3 linked regions of the Xenopus tropicalis genome follow. The protein of the gene in region 1 interacts with the protein of each later gene in a pairwise test. Links are inferred from orthologs where the notes say so. Each region holds a gene or a part of one and is shown in the gene's direction. Other genes may lie near its edges.

The links.
Region 2: the proteins of cebpe (region 1) and ddit3 interact in binary tests that used the Homo sapiens proteins (3 or more experiments, as listed by UniProt). The link is inferred for Xenopus tropicalis from reciprocal best matches to the Homo sapiens genes CEBPE and DDIT3.
Region 3: the proteins of cebpe (region 1) and cebpg interact in a two-hybrid assay, tested with the Homo sapiens proteins (2 studies listed by BioGRID and IntAct, with this or other methods). The link is inferred for Xenopus tropicalis from reciprocal best matches to the Homo sapiens genes CEBPE and CEBPG.

Annotation. Positions count from the first base shown.
Region 1 is NC_030677.2:139,545,065-139,549,317, reverse strand, and holds the start of cebpe (CCAAT/enhancer-binding protein epsilon), read left to right. Parts: upstream 1-1,387; 5' UTR 1,388-1,789; intron 1,790-4,253. UniProt on the Homo sapiens protein: Transcriptional activator. C/EBP are DNA-binding proteins that recognize two different motifs: the CCAAT homology common to many promoters and the enhanced core homology common to many enhancers.
Region 2 is NC_030678.2:140,580,811-140,584,116, reverse strand, and holds the end of ddit3 (DNA damage-inducible transcript 3 protein), read left to right. Parts: intron 1-610; 5' UTR 611-653; intron 654-1,086; 5' UTR 1,087-1,118; coding exon 1,119-1,262; intron 1,263-1,956; coding exon 1,957-2,442; 3' UTR 2,443-2,717; downstream 2,718-3,306. UniProt on the Homo sapiens protein: Multifunctional transcription factor in endoplasmic reticulum (ER) stress response. Plays an essential role in the response to a wide variety of cell stresses and induces cell cycle arrest and apoptosis in response to ER stress.
Region 3 is NC_030680.2:115,631,077-115,634,731, reverse strand, and holds part of cebpg (CCAAT/enhancer-binding protein gamma), read left to right. Parts: intron 1-2,259; exon of another isoform or gene 2,260-2,319; 5' UTR 2,320-2,334; coding exon 2,335-2,748; 3' UTR 2,749-3,655. UniProt on the Homo sapiens protein: Transcription factor that binds to the promoter and the enhancer regions of target genes. Binds to the enhancer element PRE-I (positive regulatory element-I) of the IL-4 gene. Binds to the promoter and the enhancer of the immunoglobulin heavy chain.

The DNA of each region.
Region 1 (4,253 bases):
AAGGTTGTAGCCAAAAAAGGTCAAACATATACTTTCTGTTATCTAATGCACTAAATGTGCATTTTTTTGTAAAATATAGTTTTTTGACATCTAAAAGATGTTTATGTGTTGCCCATGATAAAACTGAAACTTATTATTACATGTAATTATCATTATTTAAATAGCATTATTGTCTCCTGCAATGCTTTACACAGAAAAAGGATGCCAACAAAAAACATAATAGTTTACACATACTTACAGTGGCATAAGTCACTAGTATGTTGCTCTGTATTATACATTAACAGCTTAATATAATAAAAGTCATGAAGTTTGCCCAGGTTTAGTAACCTATAGTAAGTGAAAGAGCCCTCAAGAGTACAAGAATCTAACACAAGGTGCAGAGCACATAGCTGTCAGGTGCAGGGAAAACATACATCCGCAGGGACCATGAATGATTCTAGCCCCTGAGGTGGCTTTTGTGATGCTGCGCTTAACTTTCCTGCACCAGGGGGGATCCAGGGGGCCGCATTGCTAGTGCAGAGATTACAATTGTGAAGAGCTAATATTCCAATTTAATAATCAGAAATTGCGCTATTAAAGTGACCAGGAGCTGATTTTTGGCGCCCCATTTGTGAAGGTTACTACCTGAGGTCTCACCTTGCCTCATGGCTGTAGCACCCCTTGCAGGGACCCCCACAAAAAATTGTATTAGTAATATATGGTCCAATATATGAGGGGTCTGCCATTTCTTTAAAGGAAAATGAATACTTGACCAACAGATAATTTATAGCATAAGAAGGGACCTATTAAAGAATTATACCAAATTGGCAAATAAATATCAGCAAATATTTCCCTTTTACGTCTTTCACTTTGAGCCACCTTTTTGTGATGGACTGTGTGCTCCCTCAGAGATCAACTGACAATACATAATGCAGCTCTAACTGTAACAAAATAAAGTGTGGGATTATAGGCCCATTCATTGGTTGATGTAAGATAGCATGGTGTGCCTTTGGTTTGTATGTGAGTACAGTGGGCACAGGGGGGGGTGATCCGTAGAACTTAAAATGACAGTTTTTCCAGTGGTACAAAAAAGTAGTTTGTTATGAAAATGATTTATTTGCCGTGTTTGACATATATGCTGCTTTATGCAATATATTTCATGGCCTTCTATATTCAGTGGTTGTTGGTGGTTCTTCCTATTCTGGGGACCTAAATGGTGCTATTGCAGTTTTTTCTTTTTGTTTGTATAGGCAAAAGTTATAAGCTTCTTGCATGGACTGAGATAGAAGAGAAGTGGTAAAAAGTAAGTTTGAAATGTGCACTTGCATAATTGTGTTTGTTACTGGAAATAAACGTATTAATCGTGTGTAAGAGAGCAAGTATAAGTAGCGGTACCTAATACTGTTACCCTTCGTTCTGCAAAGGAACGGGTTAATATGTATAAATTGCTTATAGTCACCATATGTGTGAACCGTTACTGGGTACACTGGGGGCCGGGTGGTGGGAGCTGATAAACTGATAGCACTGTTCAGATTGCACCAGCCCAATTGGGAAATCTGTTGTCTTCCTGAAGAGCACATCAGAGGTGGAGGGGGAGCTGAATCTGTGAGCCACAGGGAGGGGACATACAGTGACACAGAGGGTGACCCCCCCCTCCTTGTACATTTTGAGCTCAGAGTGGCATGATCGACAGGTGTATAATTGTGACCCCCCAGGAACAAGCCACAAGGTGTGATAGACCTCTCCCCTTCGCTGCAGAAGTTTAGCCGAGAAAAAGAGTGTGCAAGTGGGGAAGCATCACTTGAGGAAGGTAATACCCTCTAAATTGTTTTATTCGCTATCTAAGGGCCATTTTTGAAACATGTCTGTTTATAAATACATGGTATATGTCTTTAGGCATAAACGCCATAAACATTTTGTTTATGCCTCAGTAGAGTATGTAATTTTGTTTAAAACGCTGACAAACTAAGCATATTGGCCGCACCTTTGTGCAGAATGTTATTTCCTCTCTTCCACTGCTGGACCACCATGGCCATTATTCATCCTATCTAGCATACCATAAACATTTGAATCTGCCATAGATTCAAAGGTTTGGTTCATTTTATTTAGATACATGATCATATACAGTATGTAAGCTTGTCTTTGATAGCATGGATTTTGTTTTTCACAAAAAAAAAAAAGGAATATATCAAGGCATTATTTCTCTCACCTGTTGAATAAAGCTGATAATTGATCTCTATCAGTTCTGATGTTAACAGTCCAGATTCCACAAATGTAATATTAATTTCTAAACTCTCTAGTCGCAATATAAATCCAAGGTATGAGTTCAGCTATAGCAATAACTGGTGTGTACTGGATTGAAAGGAGCAATGATACTGCCTATCCAACATGACTTCAATGAATAGGGCTTGTACTTTTTGTTTAGTATTCAAATCACAAAAAAATCTATGATTTATATTAGTTATTGAGCTAAACAAGACTAAAAAGAAAATTAAAGCTACTCCATGTTTGGTCCTCGTAATAATTAGAATACTAGTGCACACTTGATCTTCGTGCATAAGGGAAACCTGCTAATCTGTAAAACAGTGATCCCCAACCAGTGGCTCGGGGGCACCATATTCCTCACCAACCCCTTGGATGTTGCTCTCAGTGCCCCCAAACCAGGTAGTTATTTTTGAATTCCTGATTTGGAGGCAAGTTTTGGTTGAAAAAAAACAAGATTTACTACCAAATAAAGCCTCCTGTAAGCTGACAGTGTGCATAGAGGCTGCCTAATAGCCAATCTTAGCCCTTGCTTGGCACCTCCATGAACTTTTATGATGCTTGTGTTGCTCTCCAAGTCTTTTTACATCTGACTCACAAGTAAGAAAGTTTGGGGACCCCTGCTGTAAAAAAAAAATTCACAACAAAGGGGTGAAGGGAAGGGGCTGTGAACCGTTAATCTAATTATCTGTCTTGCAAGGACCAAACATGGAGTAGCTTGAATGAACAAGGGGCTATACCGCCTGTTCAAATATACATGTAATATTGTTGAAAAAAACTGACCAGCTAAGCAAAAAAAGGAGACTTATTTTTTCCTACTCTTCCACTTGTCAAACATAAAATACATACATATAGGACATGTGTATTTACTAACATCAGCTTTGCTTGCTAGGACTGGGTCAAAAACTACGGGATATTTTAGCCTTGTCCAATTTTTGTTCATTTAATTTTTATGTGTGATTCTGATAACCAACAAAATCTGACCTGATGAACCAAACCAAAAACAAAGATACATTGGATATCTTCTTTTCCAGTACTTTTGGTAGTAATTATTGGTTTAGGGATACAAATGACTTTTCCCAAAGAATCAGTGCAACTATCTACAGCATATTAAATATTCTATAGCTCTTAGCAACTGAGAAATTAGGGTTCACAGAGGTGATTTTTGTGGCAAGGACAAACACCATGTGGTCATTCAAGCGGAATTGCACCAGACTATTGTATTCATACCTATAAACCCAACTCACAATGACTGCAGGTACAGAACCCCCTTATCCTGCATCCTGGTCTTTGGAATGCTTCCCAAATCATCATGCCAGAGAACCCCACACCAGCTCCTAATTCTGTCATAACCCAAACCAAAACTGTAATTTTTCTGGATGTGGGTGCAGCTTGTAGGTTCCCTGTCTCTTTCCTCCCATTTTTCTGTTCCAGAGCTAAATGGAGAAGGAGACAGGAGTTTTAATGCTAAAATTCACGCCTGATTGGTCAGCTCCAAATTATGGAAAATAATTTGCTGTATTTGAATCAGCTTTTTTCCATAGTTCTTGCTTTTCCAAAGATAAAACCACATGTTTTCCTGCAGGGAAAAATCTTCTGTTTGCAACATTAATGTTGTCTGTATGATCATTTATCTGCCATCAAATAAACAGCAAAAGTCAAGGAGATATGTACTAGAGAATTAGGCAGATAAATGGAAAATTCAAGTGCTAATAAATTGATAATAAAGGCTAATCATATGAATATGTATAGATAAGGAAACAGTAAACATAGTAAAGGAGCATGATATGTGAAGGTGTAAAGATTTCTGTTTGACTGGGGAAGTCATTTTCCTTTGAACTCTTGACTTCCCTATCAGAAGGTTTTCATCTGCAGAGACAAGATACCTAGGAAATGACAAGGCCAAATGAATTAGTTTTTGCCAACATCCTGAAAATGACCACATTTTCTAAGATATTAAAATTTCTCCGGTATGACTCTGTACCAGTTTTTGTCCTTTATCTATATATATA
Region 2 (3,306 bases), on another chromosome or scaffold:
GGGCAGGTCTAATAGGGCAATGGCATTTAGCCATGGGGACCATATTGCCTCAGATTTCTGCAGGGAGTTCTTGCTATGTATGTCTGCTTGATTTAAAGGGAGTTTTTTATTAATGCAATCCATTCTGCCAGTGCGGGTGGGTCCATTTAATTATATATGGGATTTTTGGAGCACAGAAGATGACTGATCTCAATTCCTTGTGTGGTTCCAGGTAACCAATTCATCTACCACCCCTAAAAGACAGACAAATGAATACATATTTAAAGAGGGTTTAGGCCCTCACTGTGGGTAGGGTTCGTTATCCATTACACAACTCCAAACCTCTGGGAAAGAGAATTAATCCTGACATATAGACCCAGATCATAAAATGTGCCCTCTTCTATAATAAATGCATATGGATTTTTCTGGCTCAAACGGTTTCCTAATAATTAGTAATAATAGTGTTAAGCACCACTGAAGCAATTTTTTTTGTATTTGACTTCTGTTTTTGTATCGAGTAGCCTGAACTGTTGTATCTATATATAATGTATATGGTAGCCTTGCTATAAACTTTTTTTTTTTTTTTTTTTTTACAAAAAAAAAAAGCTAATCACGCTTTTCTTTTTAATAGTGTTGGAGAAGAAAGACAATCTTTATACATCACCATACCTGAGGTAAGACACTGAAATCTAAGCCTTTGGCTAAACTGTAGTTGTGAACATATACAGCATGTAGTTGCCTTTCTATAGGACCACTAGGCTGATGGAAGCCTCTTATCATAACTAAACCCCTAAAGTGCTACAGGCATTTCTAAACCTTTGGATTCATTGAATGCTTTCATAAAATGACATATAAGTCTTGGATTGGTTGGAAGCCTATGCCATCTGCACATACTTGGTTTTCCTACATCTCTAGGTAAGGAGTCCTCGTATGCAGTGCACAGCCCAGTCTTTGCTTCCATAGACCAGCTCTTCTATTTCAGTGTACCCTAACTTTTTGGGTGACTGATCGCCTAGCAGTGCGCCCCCCCCCCCACTCAGCTTGCAGGTAAGGCACGTGGCACTGTCTGCATTTTTACATATTTTGATTTATTTTCCCTTTTTACAGAAACAGTCTTCTGAGCAAGATTGCCATACAAAATGATGGCAGAGTCTCTGCCATTCTGTGGCCCCATGGCCACTTTGTCTGGGTGGGAGCTGGAATGTTGGTATGAAGATCTTCAAGACATCTTGTGGGCCGACACAAAGGACACTGGGAATTTGCTCCCTGTTTCAGAAGAGCAGGTTGGTGGTTTTATAAGTGACCAACTAATTTGTTTGCTCTCATTTTGTTGGTTGGCTATCTAGCATTAGACTGAGGGAAAAACATCAATGTCTGATGTCCGCAAATCTGCTGTCTGGGTTTTGGGATCACAACTAAACAGCATTTTAAGTTTTAGGTTGGCATTGCTATACATTAGCAGGGCAGATGGGGATTCTTTAACAATTGTTCTATTAGGGCCTGTTAAGCAAGCCTCACCCAAATCAAATCCCAGCATGACATTGGCTCTTTGAAAGCAAATTCTAACAAAGTAGAGCTGAGGTGTTAAGGAGGCCTGTGGCCATTCAGCCTTGAAGCCAGGGGCAGCCTGGGCATGACCACCATATTGGTCCAGGCTTCACTATTTGTAGCTGACCTCATGAATAGTACAGAACTCTCTGGAAAAAGTACTACTACACCCATTGGAACAAGATTGTACTGACGTTCCCTGCACCAAAGCTCATCACCTCTCCTCAACGCTCCTCAGCTTAGGTACTTTTATGTAAAGCATGCTGTTGCCATCTTTCAGCAAGGTTAGTGGTTAGAACCTTGGGGGTTCTGTTTGATCTGTCACACTGGCAGCATGTGGTGGGAAGAGTTCTAAGCAAAATGCCCTAATTGCTTAATTTACAGGTATTTTCTGGCCTACAATGCCTAATTTTTTTTTCTTTTTTTTAGGACTTACAGCAAATGGAAACTGTGGACCAATCTCCTTACTTGTGGACTATTGAGTCACCTTTGGTTATGGACAATGAGGATACTGATGCTTTAGAAGCTGCTGTACAACAGCTGCCTTCTGCTGTCTTGGAACTAATAAACTCAGAAATACAAGACAACTGTAAGCTCTCTGGTTCCCCAGTAAGTGATGATACTCCGCAGTCGGACGTGCCTGAGCTCGATTACTGCAGTAGCTCTTCAGTACATACCCACACAGAGGATGAGGAATCTTTTGCCAGCCAGCCACCATCAAAAAGAAAGAGAAGCAGTCAGTCACGAGGAGGAAAAGTACGTGTGAAAGAAAAGGAAGAGGAGAATGAAAAGAAAGTGTCCCATTTGTTAGCAGAAAATGAACGACTAAAGGGAGAGATTGAACGCCTAAGTAAGGAAGTGGAGCAGACTAGGAAGGCTTTAATAGACCGGATGGTGAACCTTAAAAAAGACTAAGACTCAAAATAAATCAGCAATTACTTGCTATGAGAACTATACTTTTATTTTAGGAAAGTAAACTTTGTAGAACTGCTGTGACTTTCAGCAGGTACTCTGTAAATACTGATGTAAGGAGTTACAGGTTAGTCCTTTATCTAGTCTGGAATGCATTGCGCTCTGTATATTGCATGGTTAATCTGCACGGTGTCTGTTTCCAAAACAATTTACACCATGTCCATTTAGCTATCCCCTGATATTAATCAAGTATTTTAATAAAACTAATATTGCATGTATTTTGGTTTTTATGTACTATTTAAGATCTGGTCCTTATTGATACAAATCTGCTTCAAAGTCCAAGCAGTGTCACTGGGGGGATATATTTGCTCACATGGGTTGGAGGCCATCAGGACACATGGCCAATTTTTGGCCTGATATCTGTTGGGTAGGTCTGTCTGAGGGCCCCATATATGGGCTGATAACTGCTGACCATCGCCAGCTTTTATTGACCCATGTATGACCACCTTTAATTCATTATACGCCAAAGTTGTTCTAGCATCCTTGGAAAGCACAACAGTGCAATTTCTTATTGCTTTCTGATTTTAAAATAAGATTTTTCATTAAGTATGACTTCTCAAATGTGTGCAATTCTTCTTCAGCTACATATTACATCTAATGAATATTACATCTATTTCTACAAAGGAGTGAAAATGACTGCTTTTTCAAACTGTAGCTGTGTTACAAGCTAAACATAAAATCCAGCCATGGACACAGCCAATGTGTGGGGGCCAAAAACTGGAAGTGATGTCACTGTGGCTCAGTTTGCTGTGACTGCCCCTAAAGGCTGTTTATGGATCACCCACATGGTTGGGACATCCCAATATT
Region 3 (3,655 bases), on another chromosome or scaffold:
TCAATTTTAACGAAATTTTAACATTTTGTGGCCATACGGAGCAATGGGGACTTCTCCCCACTGCTCCGTATGGTAGTTTAAATGGCTACACATGCGCGCTTGCGTCATTGCGGGGGGGGGGAGATGCATGAGCGCCGGGGGGGCCCGAATGGGGGGCGGCCTCGGGGCGCCTGGATTTGAAATCCGGCGCTGGGGACCGAGACTCCAAAGATGGAGTGGACCATGGTAAATACTCTTATCCAGAACCTCTGGACTTTAGGGCAAGACCGCCATATGTTGATAAGGGGCCCGAAATATGTCGTGTATGGCATAAAAATAAAAGCGTTTTTTGTGCAGCAATTTTGCATTTTGTCTCGTGCTTCCCCCTATATATATTTTTCGATTCAACATTGGCTGAGAGTGCGGCTCTATTGCTGGGGGTTTGCATAAGGTCTGTAAGGCTGGGCGCAGAGGACCTATCTAGTCGACCACCATATGTGGAACATCGTACCTTGCTGGTCACAAGCCCGGAAGCATCTTGGGTCGACTGTGGGTATAAATTTCGATATACGGGCTGGGACTAGATACCACCTGAGGCAAACTACAAAGTTCTCCTTAAGGAGGGAAACATTGCGTGAAAAGCATTTGACTGTTAACTATATAGAGTCCCAATCCTCTTGTGCCAAGCTAGATTGTATATCAGTTTGCCATGCCGTAACATATAATAGGCTTTTAGCTGTGCCTTTTTCAATTGTAACCAAAATTTTGTTGTCTACTCTCCTAAAATGCCTACTTATGGTTGGTGATGAAATATCTTGTTCTGCTGACAATGTAATAAAGGTGATAGATTTGTGTTGGCTTGTTTAGGAAAGGGAAGCAGTAGGTGTCTCAGGTTCATCCTGTGTTGCCTTACGCTACTAACAGACCCAAGGGACCCCGTTCCTCATTAACCAAACATGTTTCTGATGGTACTGATGCACAGTCTACACAATAATCATAATATGAAGCAGATAAAAATGCTTAATGGTTTTGTGCAACAACTATAGGATTTTTCCTGTGTGCAGCTCTTATGAGCAGGGCCCTCTATCTCCTGCATAGTCAGAACCATAGATCATGTCATGGAGGGCAATGAGAATAGGGTTTACGTTCTCTTTCAGCCTATAAGCATGGTGCTCACAGCTGAGCACAAACGCAGCAGGCTGTATTCCCATTAGAGTATTGGCTTATGGAATGAAGTTGTGGCAGCTGGGACCACAAAGCAGAATGAAGACCACAAGGGAGTTCACCAAGAAAAACAACTATACCTATTAATAATACAACTTGTAGGTGTGATTGTTGGATCACAAAAGGATGTTTACAAAAATAAAGTAAGATTTTGGTTCCTTTTAGTGATATAAAAACAAGCGCAACATTAGACACTAAACTGAAAGTGAAACAGAACCTTGCTAAGAAATTATACACCTTATGTTTACAGGCCAGATTCCATATTTATATGATTTCTTTTATCTGGTGCTTTATTTTTGCATGTTTGCATTTGGTATCTTTTATCCCCAAACCATATTTTTTATTTTAGCCTCTTTCACTAACCTGTCATTTCTTCCAACCACACAGCTATGGGTGAGCATTGAAACGGATGGCAAACATGGAATTTTCACTGCCACTCTTAACAGTAACCGTAGCAATCAGAATTCCCATCTGCCTGTCAATCCTACTAGTACTATTGAATCTAAAGTGCCCTATTGGACATGCACAAAGAGGTGACAGGCAGACATCAAGCTATCTTTTTGGCACCAGTGTCCACCTGTCACTATTGTTTGTGTATCAGGTGGGGCACTATGTATTCAGTAGAATTAGGGCTCCGGCACATGGTGAGATTAGTCGCCCGTGACAAGGGAGATGTCGCCGAAGTACCATCCCACCGGCGAAAATGTAAGTTGCCAGTGGGATGGCACACGCTGCGCAAGCGATTTTGGCAAATCGCCGAAGTTGCCTCGCGGAAAATAGGGTATTCAGAGTGTAATGGAGATCCACACATCACAGGGCTTAGAGGTGATGAGGAACAACTTTGAAAAAGTCTTCTTTATCACCTCTAATATATAATATATATTATAAGTGTACTTTTCTAAATTTTGGATAGTCATATTATACAGACTAAAGACTGGGCGGTTTCTATTAATAGGCAAACAGAAGTCAGCAGAAAGTATTACTGTAGTTGTGAATGCTAAGCTACCATGTTTTGATTTTTTCTGTCCATAATAATATATATTTGTTTTATTTTAGGTATATATTACTGGACATTGAACAGCAGAGAGTCCTCACATTTATCCATTTATCTTTAAGGACAAGTTAGACCAAATGAACCAGTCCCCTTCCACCGCATCTGAGGGCCTGAGCGATGCCCTGCCAGGGAGCCCAGCAACACCACAGCTTGTGCCGCTAAACCCTGGAGGCGGAGGCAAAGCTACCCCTCCAAGCAAAAACAGCAAAAAGGGTCAACGATTGGACCGTGGAAGCGAAGAGTACCGTCTGCGTCGGGAACGTAACAATATGGCTGTCAAGAAGAGCCGCTTAAAAAGCAAACAAAAGGCTCAAGACACACTGCAAAGGGTCAACCAGTTGAAAGAAGAGAATGAAAGACTGGAGGCCAAAATCAAGCTACTTACCAAGGAGCTGAGCGTGTTGAAAGACCTGTTCTTAGAGCATGCACACAACCTGGCAGACAATGTGCAGCCAGAATCCAGCACACCCGGACAGGAGTCAGCTGGGTAGTAACCAATTTGAAGATCTACCACTAATTATTGGTGGACGAGAATAACTTTTTTGAGGGGTGGGAGAGCTCTGAATTCCTGCATTGTCTTTTGATTACAGGCAACATGCAGCAGTAGGGGCTGTAGTAACTGATTGTGCTTTCAGTCTGGGATCCAGTAATTTATACAGGAATGTTTGGTGTTGAAGTTTGTCTGTAGGTCTTCTGGTGCAACCCATTTGCTTTGGAAAGTTATTACAGAAAGGAAGCATAGAGGGGCAGTATTCACCTTGCACAAGCCAGAGAAAAAGGGCTTTTTTAAATAGTTATAGTTCACATGGGATATGAATTGTTTTTATATGAACTCTCTCCTCTACAGTATTCACTGTGGGAGGAGATTGAATCATATAGTCCCCTCTTTCACAAATCGTGTCTGAGAGTGCAGGCAGCACATAAGGGAGAAGCTTCTTCTCCCTCTTTGCTATTGGTGGCAGAGCAGAACTTAAGCAAGATGGAGGCAGCTGATATTAAAAAAACAAAACTGTTCCTTCTCCATGTCCACTATCTAATGGGATACTGTCATAAAGATCATTTCGTGCCTGAAACCACATGGTTATCAGAGTAGTATTATGGAGAGGGAAAGAAGCGATTTCCTTGAGCTTTTGAAAGTGAGCTTTTCTTCTTTAATACAGTAATGTAGTATGCGACTGGCCGTAAAGCATTATTACAGAGCAAAAAAACTCCTGTGCAGCAATTCTCTATATATGAATGCCTCAGAGTTTTCATTGTTTACATTTACACCACATTGACTATTAAAGCAGGCCACATGCACTGCTTTAGCTGTTGATTCTGGCCATCAAGATTTTGTTTGGTTAGTGGACTGCTTATAGGGCCAAACCAACACCCTCCGCCAGATACTGACAGGCAGGT